2 linked regions of the Coturnix japonica genome follow. The protein of the gene in region 1 interacts with the protein of each later gene in a pairwise test. Links are inferred from orthologs where the notes say so. Each region holds a gene or a part of one and is shown on either strand. Other genes may lie near its edges.

What was found. The genes of interacting proteins can lie anywhere in the genome.
Region 2: the proteins of ASB13 (region 1) and NUDT3 interact in a two-hybrid assay, tested with the Homo sapiens proteins (2 studies listed by BioGRID and IntAct). The link is inferred for Coturnix japonica from reciprocal best matches to the Homo sapiens genes ASB13 and NUDT3.

Annotation. Positions count from the first base shown.
Region 1 is NC_029516.1:1,118,149-1,123,886, reverse strand, and holds the start of ASB13 (ankyrin repeat and SOCS box protein 13), read right to left. Parts: upstream 3,545-5,738; 5' UTR 3,457-3,544; coding exon 3,414-3,456; intron 2,448-3,413; coding exon 2,260-2,447; intron 1,081-2,259; coding exon 930-1,080; intron 322-929; coding exon 187-321; intron 1-186. UniProt on the Homo sapiens protein: May be a substrate-recognition component of a SCF-like ECS (Elongin-Cullin-SOCS-box protein) E3 ubiquitin-protein ligase complex which mediates the ubiquitination and subsequent proteasomal degradation of target proteins.
Region 2 is NC_029541.1:4,237,528-4,242,634, reverse strand, and holds the start of NUDT3 (diphosphoinositol polyphosphate phosphohydrolase 1), read right to left. Parts: upstream 3,648-5,107; 5' UTR 3,326-3,647; coding exon 3,227-3,325; intron 1,376-3,226; exon of another isoform or gene 1,121-1,375; coding exon of another isoform or gene 1,091-1,120; intron 1-1,090. Other genes in the region: RPS10 (40S ribosomal protein S10), read right to left, coding at 4,612-4,653, 5,053-5,107. UniProt on the Homo sapiens protein: Cleaves a beta-phosphate from the diphosphate groups in PP-InsP5 (diphosphoinositol pentakisphosphate) and [PP]2-InsP4 (bisdiphosphoinositol tetrakisphosphate), suggesting that it may play a role in signal transduction.

The sequences.
Region 1 (5,738 bases):
TCTGATTTTTATTGAAAACCAAGGAGAATGGAAGGAGGTTTGCCCGAGTAAATGCCAAACTTTCCTCCTTTACCATCTTTGTCATGCTGGGAATGAATAAGCTCTTGGGCAAGAGTCTCACAGTGGGGCACCAAGAGGGAAACGCTGCACACAATCACCCCAAGACAAACCCCACAGCTGCCCTACCTGCCTTAAGCAGCAACTTCACACAGTCCAGATGCTCCCGGGCACAGGCCACGTGTAGGGGTGTCCCAAAATGGCAGTCGTGAGCCTCCAAGTTGGCACCGACGTCTATGAGGAGTTGCACACAATCTGAGCTGCCTTTAGAAATGGAAGATCTGAGTCAAAAGGAAGAATCCAGCTTAAAATACGAGTACACGCTGAGATCAGCCAGGAGCAGCTTGTTTAATATTTGGGGCAATGGATGTAAAATAGAAACACTTGAAAGCCAGATTCTATACCTCAGGACAGAGGCTGGGAATAGGGCACAAGAAACTGCTACATCTGCATGGCATTAAGCTAGAGCTAATGGCCAAACCAATGTGATTCCAAGGGCTGGCACTAAGCAGCCTGTGGATTGCAGAGTTGGTTGCATGGCTGAATGAGCCCTGGGTGGATGAGATCACCTTCGAGACCACAACAGCCTTAATTTTACTGTGTGACTTACGGCACTCAGCAGCACAGAGCCTTTGGAAAAAAGCTCGACAGGAGAAAATTAAGCAGGAGCTGACAGTTTACAATGGCTTCTGCAGTTTTCCCCTCTCGAGAAGATGGCATTTTATCTACCTAAGACCTGATCCTGTGCCTGCCATGTGGGATGAAAGCACCCAACACAAGGAGCTGCTTTATTCTCCCAACTGTGCTTTGCATTCTGAGTTCATTTTCCAAGCTGCAAATAACCGTGCGAGGATAAGACCACACCAGCTTACCGTTCATGCAGGCTTCATGAAGAGGGGATGCTGTGTACAGGGGAGGGTTCACTTTGGCACCATGGGACAGCAGCACTTTCACACACTCAATGCTCCCTGAGGCACAGGCGTCACAGAGTGGAGTGCTGCCATCAATGTTCCTGGCATCCACCTCCAAGGAAGAAGAAATCAGAATCATAGAATGGCCTTGGTTGAAAAGGACCACAATGATCATCCAGATTCAAACCCCCCCTACTATGTGCAGGACCACCAACCTCCACATTTCATACCAGCCCAGGCTGCCCAGGGCCCCATCCAACCTGACTTTGAACACCTCCAGGGATGGATGGAGCATCCAAAACCCCTCTGGGCAGCTGTTCCAGCACTTCACCACTCTCTCTGCGAAGCTTCCCCCAATATCCAACCTAAATCTCCCCTAATTCCACTTAAAATCATTTCCCCTTGTCCTGCTGTTAGCTACTCTTTCAGTGAGTTCAAGAGTCCTTAAAGATCATCAAGCTCCAACCTCCTGCCATGCCATGATGTTCCCTCTCTCCTAAAGCTTCCCCATTGCTCTCCCTGTTGAACATTACAAGCGCTGCAGCTGAGCCAGCACAGCACGATGTGCTCCTTGTCTGTGGTTAGTGCAAAGTTCAGCTTTGTGATGGGCTGAATACGCAACGAGGAGCACAGCACACACATACGGGGTGCACATGTGATCAGTTTCACCAGGTTCACTCTGAGGACAGCCAGCTTCAGTGTGTGAGATGTCACAATCCACTGAAGACTCAGCAGATTCTTCTCTGTGTAATAAAATTGAAGTAAGGAGAGAAGAAACTTAAAGAGTAAGTGTAAATCCAATCATGTTCCCCGTTCCACTCTTAGCCTTATAATCATTGAATAACAGAATCGTTTGAGTTGAAAGGAACCCTTAAAGGCCACATAGACCAACTTCCTTGCAATGAACAGGGGCACCTACAGCTCAATGAGGTGCTCAGAACCCCATCCAGCCTGACTTTGAGCACATTGCTTTTCTAAGTTAGTATAAAACCTGGCTCTGAGCAGCCTGATTGAGCTGTAGGTGGCCCTGTTCACTGCAAGGGAGTTGGACTGGATGACCTTTAAGGGTCCCTTCCAACTCAAATGATTCTATGGACATCATCCTACAACAGTACCTGGGGCTCCTCTTGATCTCAATGCAAGATGAGAGCATAGTAACAGCACTACAGCTACAGCACAGACCACAGAATCACAGAATAACCCCAACTGGAAGAGACCTACAAGGATCATCAAGTACAGCACCTACAGCATAGTGGCTTGGTTTCCAGTTGGATCACAACTGAGCACTTACCTGGGCCCCTGCAGCCAACAGGAGTTTGACACACTGTGTTTGCCCGCGCAGGCTCGCCTCGTGCAGTGGGGTGATGGAGTCGTAGGTGACGGCGTTGACGCAGGCTCCACTCTCTATCAGCTGTTGTAGCTGAAGGATTTCTCCCTGCCTGGCTGCTTCATGAACTGGGGTTCGATCAACCCAAAAGCCTGCAGAGGAAAAAAGAAAAATATTTAATAAATGAGATTCTGGGCTGGAAAAAAGAGGCTCTGTTGAAATAGGAACACAGGCTCATAGGCTGACAGAAACATATGATTGACTTAGGCTGGGAAGGACCTTAAATATTATATCTCAACCCTTAACAAGAAAGAGATGGGAATAATGAAACTTATTTCTTACTCTATCCCCAGTCCAGCTTTGCACTGGGGGCTTTCCATTGGGCTGCTTGTAATGCTGCATTTCCTTCCAGCATTTGCTTGAAGTTTTCCGCCACATACAAACCATACAAACAGAGCCCCATCCAGCCTGACCTTGGATGGATAGATGGATGGATGGATAGATGGATGGATGGATGGAGCATCCAACTCCTTTCTAGGCAACTCATTCCAGTGCTCCACTACTGTTCCTGTAATAAGCCTTTTATCCTCATCTAAATCTCTCCCTGTTGGCATACTGAGCCTGTTTCTTTGAGCCCTCTTGGGGAGGCTTAGGAAAACCTTGCACTTGGATTTATTGAACCTCACTAGGTTCTCCTGGGTGCACTGTTTGAGCTGCCTGGGTCTCTCTGGATGCCATCCCATAGAGTCATTAGGGTTGGAAGGACCACTAAGACCACCCAATCCAACCATCATGCCAACCACATCTCCATATTCCCTTAACACCTCCAGGGATGGTGACCTCCCCCCCATCCCTAGGCAGCCTATTCCAACCCCTTTATCTCTCTTTCAGTGAATAAATTGCTTTTAATACCCAACCTGACCCCCCCAGCACACCTTAAGGCCATCACCTCTCGCCCTACCGCCCTACCAACAACACAGTCTCTCCCATAGGACGGTTAACCAGGGCCCCATCCTTCCCCTCCCTTCCCTGACTCCAAATCCACCCCAAATCACAACTCACCCCCCCTCTCCCCCCCTCCATACAACCCATCCCTGCTTCCAAGACCCTCCACGCACTGATGTCGCCCCGCAGCGAAGCGCTGACCCCGGAGATCGCCATGGCCCCCCCAAAAAAAAACGCCGGGGACGATCCGGTGTTCAACGATCCGCCCTAGAACCGCCCCACGCTCCGCCCCATAACGCACAAGGGGACGCTGGGAGGCGTAGTGCGGGGGGGAGGGGAAAAGGGGCATTGACTTATGGGGTGAGGGGGATAGTGGAGTATATGGGGGTATATGGGGGTAGTGACGTGGGGGGAGAGTTGTTGCTGGGAGGACTGGTGTGTGTAGGGTCGGTGGTGGGGGGTATTGGGGTCGCTGGTGTATAAGTGGTATTGATGTGGGGATAGGAGGGGTAAGGGGTAGTGATGTGTGGGGATAGGAGGGGGTGCTGGAGGTATTGGTGTGGGGGTAGGGAAGAGTGGTGTATGGGGGGTACTGGTCTGTGGGGGGGTACTGGTGTATGGGGAGAGGGGGACTGGAGTCACTGGTTTGGGGTGAGAGGGGGTACTAGAGGGGATGGTATGTGGGGAGAGGATTGGGGTCACTGGTTATGGGGTAAGAGGGGGTACTAGAGGGGCTGGTGTGTTGGGGGAGAGGGGGACTGGGGTCACAGGTGTGGGGAGAGAAGGGGACTGGGAGGACTGGTTATATGGGGAAGGAGGCACTGAGATGATTGATGTGGGGAGGGATGGGACTGGGGTCACTGGTGTGTGTGGGAAGAGGGGACTGGGGTCGCTGGTGTGGGGAGAGGATTGGGGTCACTGGTTATGGGGATACTGGAGAGACTGGTGTGTGGGGAGAGGGGAACTGGGATCACCAGTATGTGGGGAAGGGGGCACTGAAGGGGTTGATGTGGGGAGAGAGGGATCTGGGGTCACTGGTGTGTGGGGAGAGAAGGGGGACTGGGAGGACTGGTTATATGGGGAGAGGGGATACTGGGGGCACTGGTGTGGGGAGTGGTGTAAGTGGGGAGAGGTACTGGGGGTACTGTTGTGTGTGGGGAGATACTGAGGGGTATGGGGAGGGGGTCCTGTGTGTACTGGTATAGATGAGGTGTGTGTTTGTATGTGTCTGGGGGAGTTCTTGCAACAAAAAGGAGTTTGGAGGGGACAGGAAAAGCATAGAGAGTGGGTAGAAGTGGGGCAGCTGGGACGTGGTGCGTATCACATAGTGGGTCTGGCATGGAGCGAGCTGCTCTTCATCATCAGGACCAGAGCAAGTTCTTTGTTAATTAAGTCATTGATTATATTACCTCCTGGAAGCAGCACGTCACCCACGCAACGCTGAGTGTAGAGCTGGGTTTCAGGCCCCTCCGTTGGCAGATTTAATGGCTTGTGTAAAGGTATGAGCTCACTGGTTTTTTTTTCTGGTCCTGCGTATGCACCGTGTTAGAGCCAATGGCCCTTCTGTAAAATGTACACATAGATTAAAAACAGCGGAAATTAAAGCAAAAGAAGTCAGCAAAAAGCTGAAAACAAACCCTGGATCCCTTCAGTCCCACTTGATGCATCTCCCCCCACCCCTTGGACCTTGTAGGATTTATGGTGTGTCTTTTTGCCATCATAAAAACACCATAAAACAATCGGGAGTTTTAATAGAGGCTTTTGGAGGGGGAGGTAGTTTGTTTGTTTGAACAGTTTTTGGCCATACGTAAGAAATAAATCCATTTGAAAAAGAACAACCCAGCGTTTCCATGCATTTCAATGCCCTCTGCTGTCCTCCAGTTGACATGCAGCAGGAAGAAGGGATCATCCCATGTTTGCAGGCTGGGTTTGTAGGCTACACATCAGCTGGGAATCCTAACGCTGCCCCACACAGTCAACAACGATCACAAAGCTATTTGCTTTATCTCTGCCTCGTTATCTTTACACAGGGGGCCATTATCGTTTCCAGGAACTGCCGCTTCTATCTCCCTGTTGACTCATTTCATTGCAACTATTTTCTGTCTCTTCTGAGGAGGAAATGACCAACAGCGCCTGCATGTATCATTCATATATATCTTTTTTGTCTGAATAAAAGTGGAAGTGGGTGCTGCGGTGACTACTTCTTCATTTGAGACTTTTAAATACACCAGAAACTATATGAGTCATTCTTTCAAAGAAGCTAAAATAGCGAATTGCCAGGAACTGGGCCCACATCAAAGATAGACCACAGGCTTTTCTCCTACAGAGACCACAGGTGCCTACCTGCCCAAGAAGGCACCAAGAACCACTCCATAGTGATATGATCCATAGAGATACAGAAACTCCAGTTAGAAATGGTGCCTGAGCTCTACAGGCTCCAGTTCTTATACTCTTCCCCCACCAAAAACTGGCAGAAATGGAACCATTAAGGTTGGAAA
Region 2 (5,107 bases), on another chromosome or scaffold:
GAAAAGTAGAGAAAACCCTGCATGTTTTTATGCCACTTCTTAGAATAATACCAATCAATCACCCTGTCCCACACTCCTCCCGAACACCACGGCTCACATTACCGTTACTACACATTTCTTGTAACTTTAGAGTGACTGCTGCTCCTCCAGAAGATGGACACGGCCACGAGCCTGTCCCTGCAGCAAGGCTGCGTTTCGGGTAACCACAAGAATTATCTGCAGGGCAGGAGGCAGCCGGAGGGCCCCAGCCTCAGCAGCAAAGGGCTGATAATAAGGCACTCCCAAAGACCCTAAACCCCGTTTGGTTTGCCTGGCAAAACCTGTGTGCTGACCATGCAGTGACCCTCGAGTTCCAGGGGAATAAAACCTGATTCAGCTTTTCAGATTCCCAACAGCTTATGGAGCTCCCAGCAAAGTGAAAATTTAACCACTGTCATCCCACTGTAGCTTGGGAAAGCACAAGAGACTGTGGAATTGCTTACACAGGCTTCCATTACAGAAGGGCAGAAAGCACTTCTTAGATAGAAGCCCAGTTTGGCAGAATACACTCTTGCTTTTGGAGAAAGCGAGTTACAAGCACAGCAGGGAGGGCAGAGGCACAAAGTCATTTCTGAACTGGGCCGTGGTAACGGGTTATGAGCAGGCAGGGAGAGCTTTGCTCGGTTTCAACCCCAAACCTTCTCTGTAGCTGAAGGGAATGGCAAGAGTTAAGCTGAGCCATTGGAACAAGGGCTGTGAGACTCTATTCCACCAGCAGCACCACGATCATATGATGCCGAGCTCCCTTTACTTGCAGGCAGCAAAGTGCTCCAAGTGGTTCCAGCTAATAATATTTTTATATTGAAGCCAACGCACAAAGGATGGCATAGAACACTGTGTGATCAGCAAGAGCCTACAGTTAACATTTGAAAACTGCTGCACTACATCACAGTTTTGTTCCCAAGTGACCCAGGAGGGGCAAGAAGAGGAAGGTTTGTTTGCATTCAAATTGCTTCCCCCAATTGAGGCCGTTGCGGGGGCTCCTTAACGTGGCTTTTGGTGACAGTGTTGGCCTGGCACACACACACAGCTCCAGAGCCAGAGTTCTTACCAGAGCTGTGTGAAAGTTCTGCTCTCCCATCTTAATTCAGCCTCCATTCACAGTTGGAAAAAAAGACGGCCAATCCTGGATGCTTTTCTTCCCCAAGCATTTCCTCCCAGCGTCTTTAAAGAACACCAGTTGTTAACGAGCGGTTTGTCCTTTCACCAGTTACAATGCAGGCGTGCTTAAACCTGTAGCTACACCAGCCCGGGACTTAAAGCCAAACAGTTGCTTTTAATTTCTGTTCAAATAGAACAGGGGTGCTGCCATTAAGCAGCCTTCCATCTGCTCTGTGATGCTGAGAGGTTACTGACACGTTCTGGAACCTTTCCTCATTGAAACAGCTGCCCTACACACACACACAAATACTTGTACTACTTCAAAATAACACCGTAATACTGAAACACACCGACAATGGCAATAAGGAATGACTTGGGAGGTAACGCAAGACTTGGGCTCTCTTCATCTCCGAGCTCTCCCACTGATCGTTTAAATGGTGAACAATCAGGAACTCCAAGGCAGCTCTTTTATCTCATAGTGGGAAGTGAAGGAGAACTGGGATAGAGAGCAGCTGCTGTTTCTTAAGCCCTCAAAAGAAACTGTAACCAGAAGCAGAAACAAACAATGCAATGTACAGCAGGCTCCTTTAGCACAGCTTGCTTTTGGCCTTCATTTTCCAACAGTAAACCTTCAATAGATCTTTACTAACAGATTTTGGCCCTATTCTTTTTCTCCCTGCCAGGAGAGACCCTTTAATGAAACCCTAAATCCCACTTCAATCAAAGTCATCAATCAATCAATCTTTGTTAACAACTTTCCTCAACCAATCTGTTGAACAACCCCACGTGGTTGGAACATCAGAGATGAGATGGCACAATGCAGCTCCAGCCCTGCATTAAACACACAGATATCATAAATAATCCGCTGTGTGAGGCCCTCAGAGCCCAATTCACAATCAAACACAACCATAATTCATTAACCTGCCCTTTCTGGGGCTCACAACGAGGCACCCACGTGTGCACGCTTGAGGAAATCAATCTGCATCCCACACTGCATCATTAACAAAGCAATTAGTGCATCTTGTGTCATGGACCAGCACAGCACACCTGATTTCTCTGGGGCCAAATGCTAAGAGGGACTGAAAGCAAAAGGAGCGTACAGCACTCAGCTGAGCACCCACACCAACCCAATACACACAGTTCTAACATGGCCCAACAGCTGGTTCTTAAGAACTGCCTCCCCAGCTGAAGGTGCATCAGGAAACCCTTCGACCACACAAGCTGATAAGCCCCAGCATCATTACACAATGTGATTACAGGCTCCTTCATAGCAAACTCAAAGGAGCATCAATGTCCTGAAAGGTGGGAAGGTGCAGCTGCAACAAGTCTCTGTCCTGTTTATTTCACATCATTTCCACTTGAGATGCTGACACTCCTCACCATGACAGCGCAGCTACAAAGGCTTTGCTCAGCCTCCAGCAGCACGTTAACTACTAACTGCACACTATGCTAATTGACTTTCCTCCAGCGAACTGTCTGCGTTCCCTTCTATTTCCTGTAGCTACAAATATGATAATCGGGAGAACAAAGCCTTCACAACAGCCGCTCAGGAGCCAGTCAATGAAGTGAGGTGCGGTGCAGGCTGCTTTGTGCCCACGTCAAAAGCAAATTAAAAAGAGAAAACGGCCCAAAAACAAAATCCACATCTGAGCAAAGTTCCTCTTTCCAACGTCAGGCCGATCCCAGCCCTTGGCAACGGGTCTCAGAGCACCCAATTCACCTTTAATTCCCACTTCCTCCCCAGCCGCTCTGCTGGGCAGCTCCTGGCACTCCATCAGTCCCCTTTTATCCCCGTTTCTTTTTATAAACCCAAGGTCAGGTTTCCTCTCCCATCTCATGTGATGCATTGGACTGAAGTTCTGCCAGCGTGGTTGCTCCAGAGCGCTGCCAAAGCTCCTCACCGGGCTGCTCCACCATCAGCCTCAGCGCGGGGGCATTAGATCGCGTTCAACAAAGAGAGAAACGGGGAAAAAAAGGAAAAAAAAGGGGAAAAATGGGGAAAAAAAGGGGGTTTATGGGAGCGGGGAGAGCCCCGAGTTTGGCAGCGTTGAACGGACGCCCCCACAGCGCCCGGCCCGGCCCTCACCTCCTCCTCGCTCTCGCTGCGGAAGCACAGACAGGCCGCCCGCTTCTTGTAGCCGTCCCCGTCGTAGGTGCGAGTCTGGTTGGACTTGAGCTTCATCATCCTCCGCTCCCGGGGGCGGCCCGAGGCGCGGCCGGGCCTATACAGGGCCCCTACACAGCGCCGGGAACGAGCCGCCGGGATCCCGCGAGGGGCGGGCGGGGAAGGACGGGGGGGACGGAAGGGGGGACCCGCCTCCCCGAGAGTCTGTTTGTCTGTCAGTCTCTGTTTCCCGCAGCCCGGAGCCGCCCGCTACACGCTGCCGCCTTTCGCCCGCCTCATCCCTCCCTTCGTTTCCAGCCGCTCCGCCGCCGCTGCCGGCGCTCCGGACACCGCCGACGACGACCGCGACGCCATCTTGGGCACGCTACGCAAACGGCGTAAAACGGCGGGCGGGGGAGGGGGCGGTTGCTCCCTGCAGCTGCGCGGCGCGCCCGCCACGCAAACGGCGCAGTCCGGCTTCCAGAATCGCTCCCCCCTCCCCGCGGCACACACAGACGCCGCTACCACGCCTCCGCCCGACGCCGGCCCTGCGCAAAGCCTTCGAGAATACGGCGGCTGCGTGCCGGGGCGCCCTGACAGCTACGCAAAGTGCGGAGAGGCAGCGCACATGGCTCCGCTCTGACAGCGGCTCTACGCAAAGCGCGCAGACGCCACGCAGGGAAGAACGCGTAACTTACGCAAGGACGGCTTACGCCAGTGGCGGAGCGCGGCTGGGGGCAGCGAACAAAGGGGCGGGACGGGGGGATGGGGCACAATGGGACCCAATGGGGCACAATGGGACCCAATGGGGCCTAATGGGGCACAATGGGGCGCACTGGGTTCGGCCGGCCCCGCTGTGGCTGTATCAGGGTTGGGGGGGTAAAGCAGCCCTACAGCCTGTGGGGTCACAGCCAGGATGGGTTGTGACCTGCTTTGCAGCTGCCCTGCTCAGACACACGGATAAACCCTACAGCAGAGCAGCCCTGTGGGACTCAGCTCAGTCGCAGTCAGGTTCCAACGCCCTCAGGTATATGAAGAACCCAATTACACGCCTGCTGTTTGCTCCATCCCTATATGAGGGCTGTAAGCAGCCCCTTCTCGCTGCGTTCTGTGTTCCTGCCTATACAGCAGCACCATCCGGCCCCATTAGCGCCGTGCCATGGCTGTGCTGTGGGTGACACCTGGTGGCACGATGCAGATCGCAGCCCTCCCCTTGCTCAGCTCCAGATGCCGTCACCATCCTCTCTCACCATCCTCCTTCATTTCTTAATTAACCCACTGAATTCAGACACTCCAATAGAACACAGCCATGCAGCCCAAGTGGCATTTTCACCTATTTTATCATACACAAAACATGAGCGGGAGGTTTACTGAGGAGGCTGACCACGTCCACGACCAAATCCACCTCTCTGCAAGAGAAAAAGAAGAGCATTACAAGTCACCACATTGAACAAGCAACAGCAAATAAGTGCTAAAAGCACTGACAGAAGAGCCAAGTATCTGCCCGCAGCACTGCATTACTTTGATACGCATCCCCTGCTCCAAGCACAGCTTAACTCTGATCTGAGACCAAACTGAACCCATCCCGGTCAGCTCTATCACAGCTCAAACTCTCTGTTTCTGTAGTATAAAATAATACATTTCCCCTAGAAAGCTCAGTGACTTTTTGTCACAGCAGTAAGGCTTTCAGTTTATTCAATAAGAGTGCAGGAAGTCCTGCTAAGCACCATACCCACACACACAGATACATGCATTGTCTCTAACTCAGAGCACAAATAAATGAAGCCTATCTCAATACAAATACTTACAAACTGGAATTCAGTGGCTGCTCCAGCACCGGCCTCAGCCTTCTTGTCAGCACCA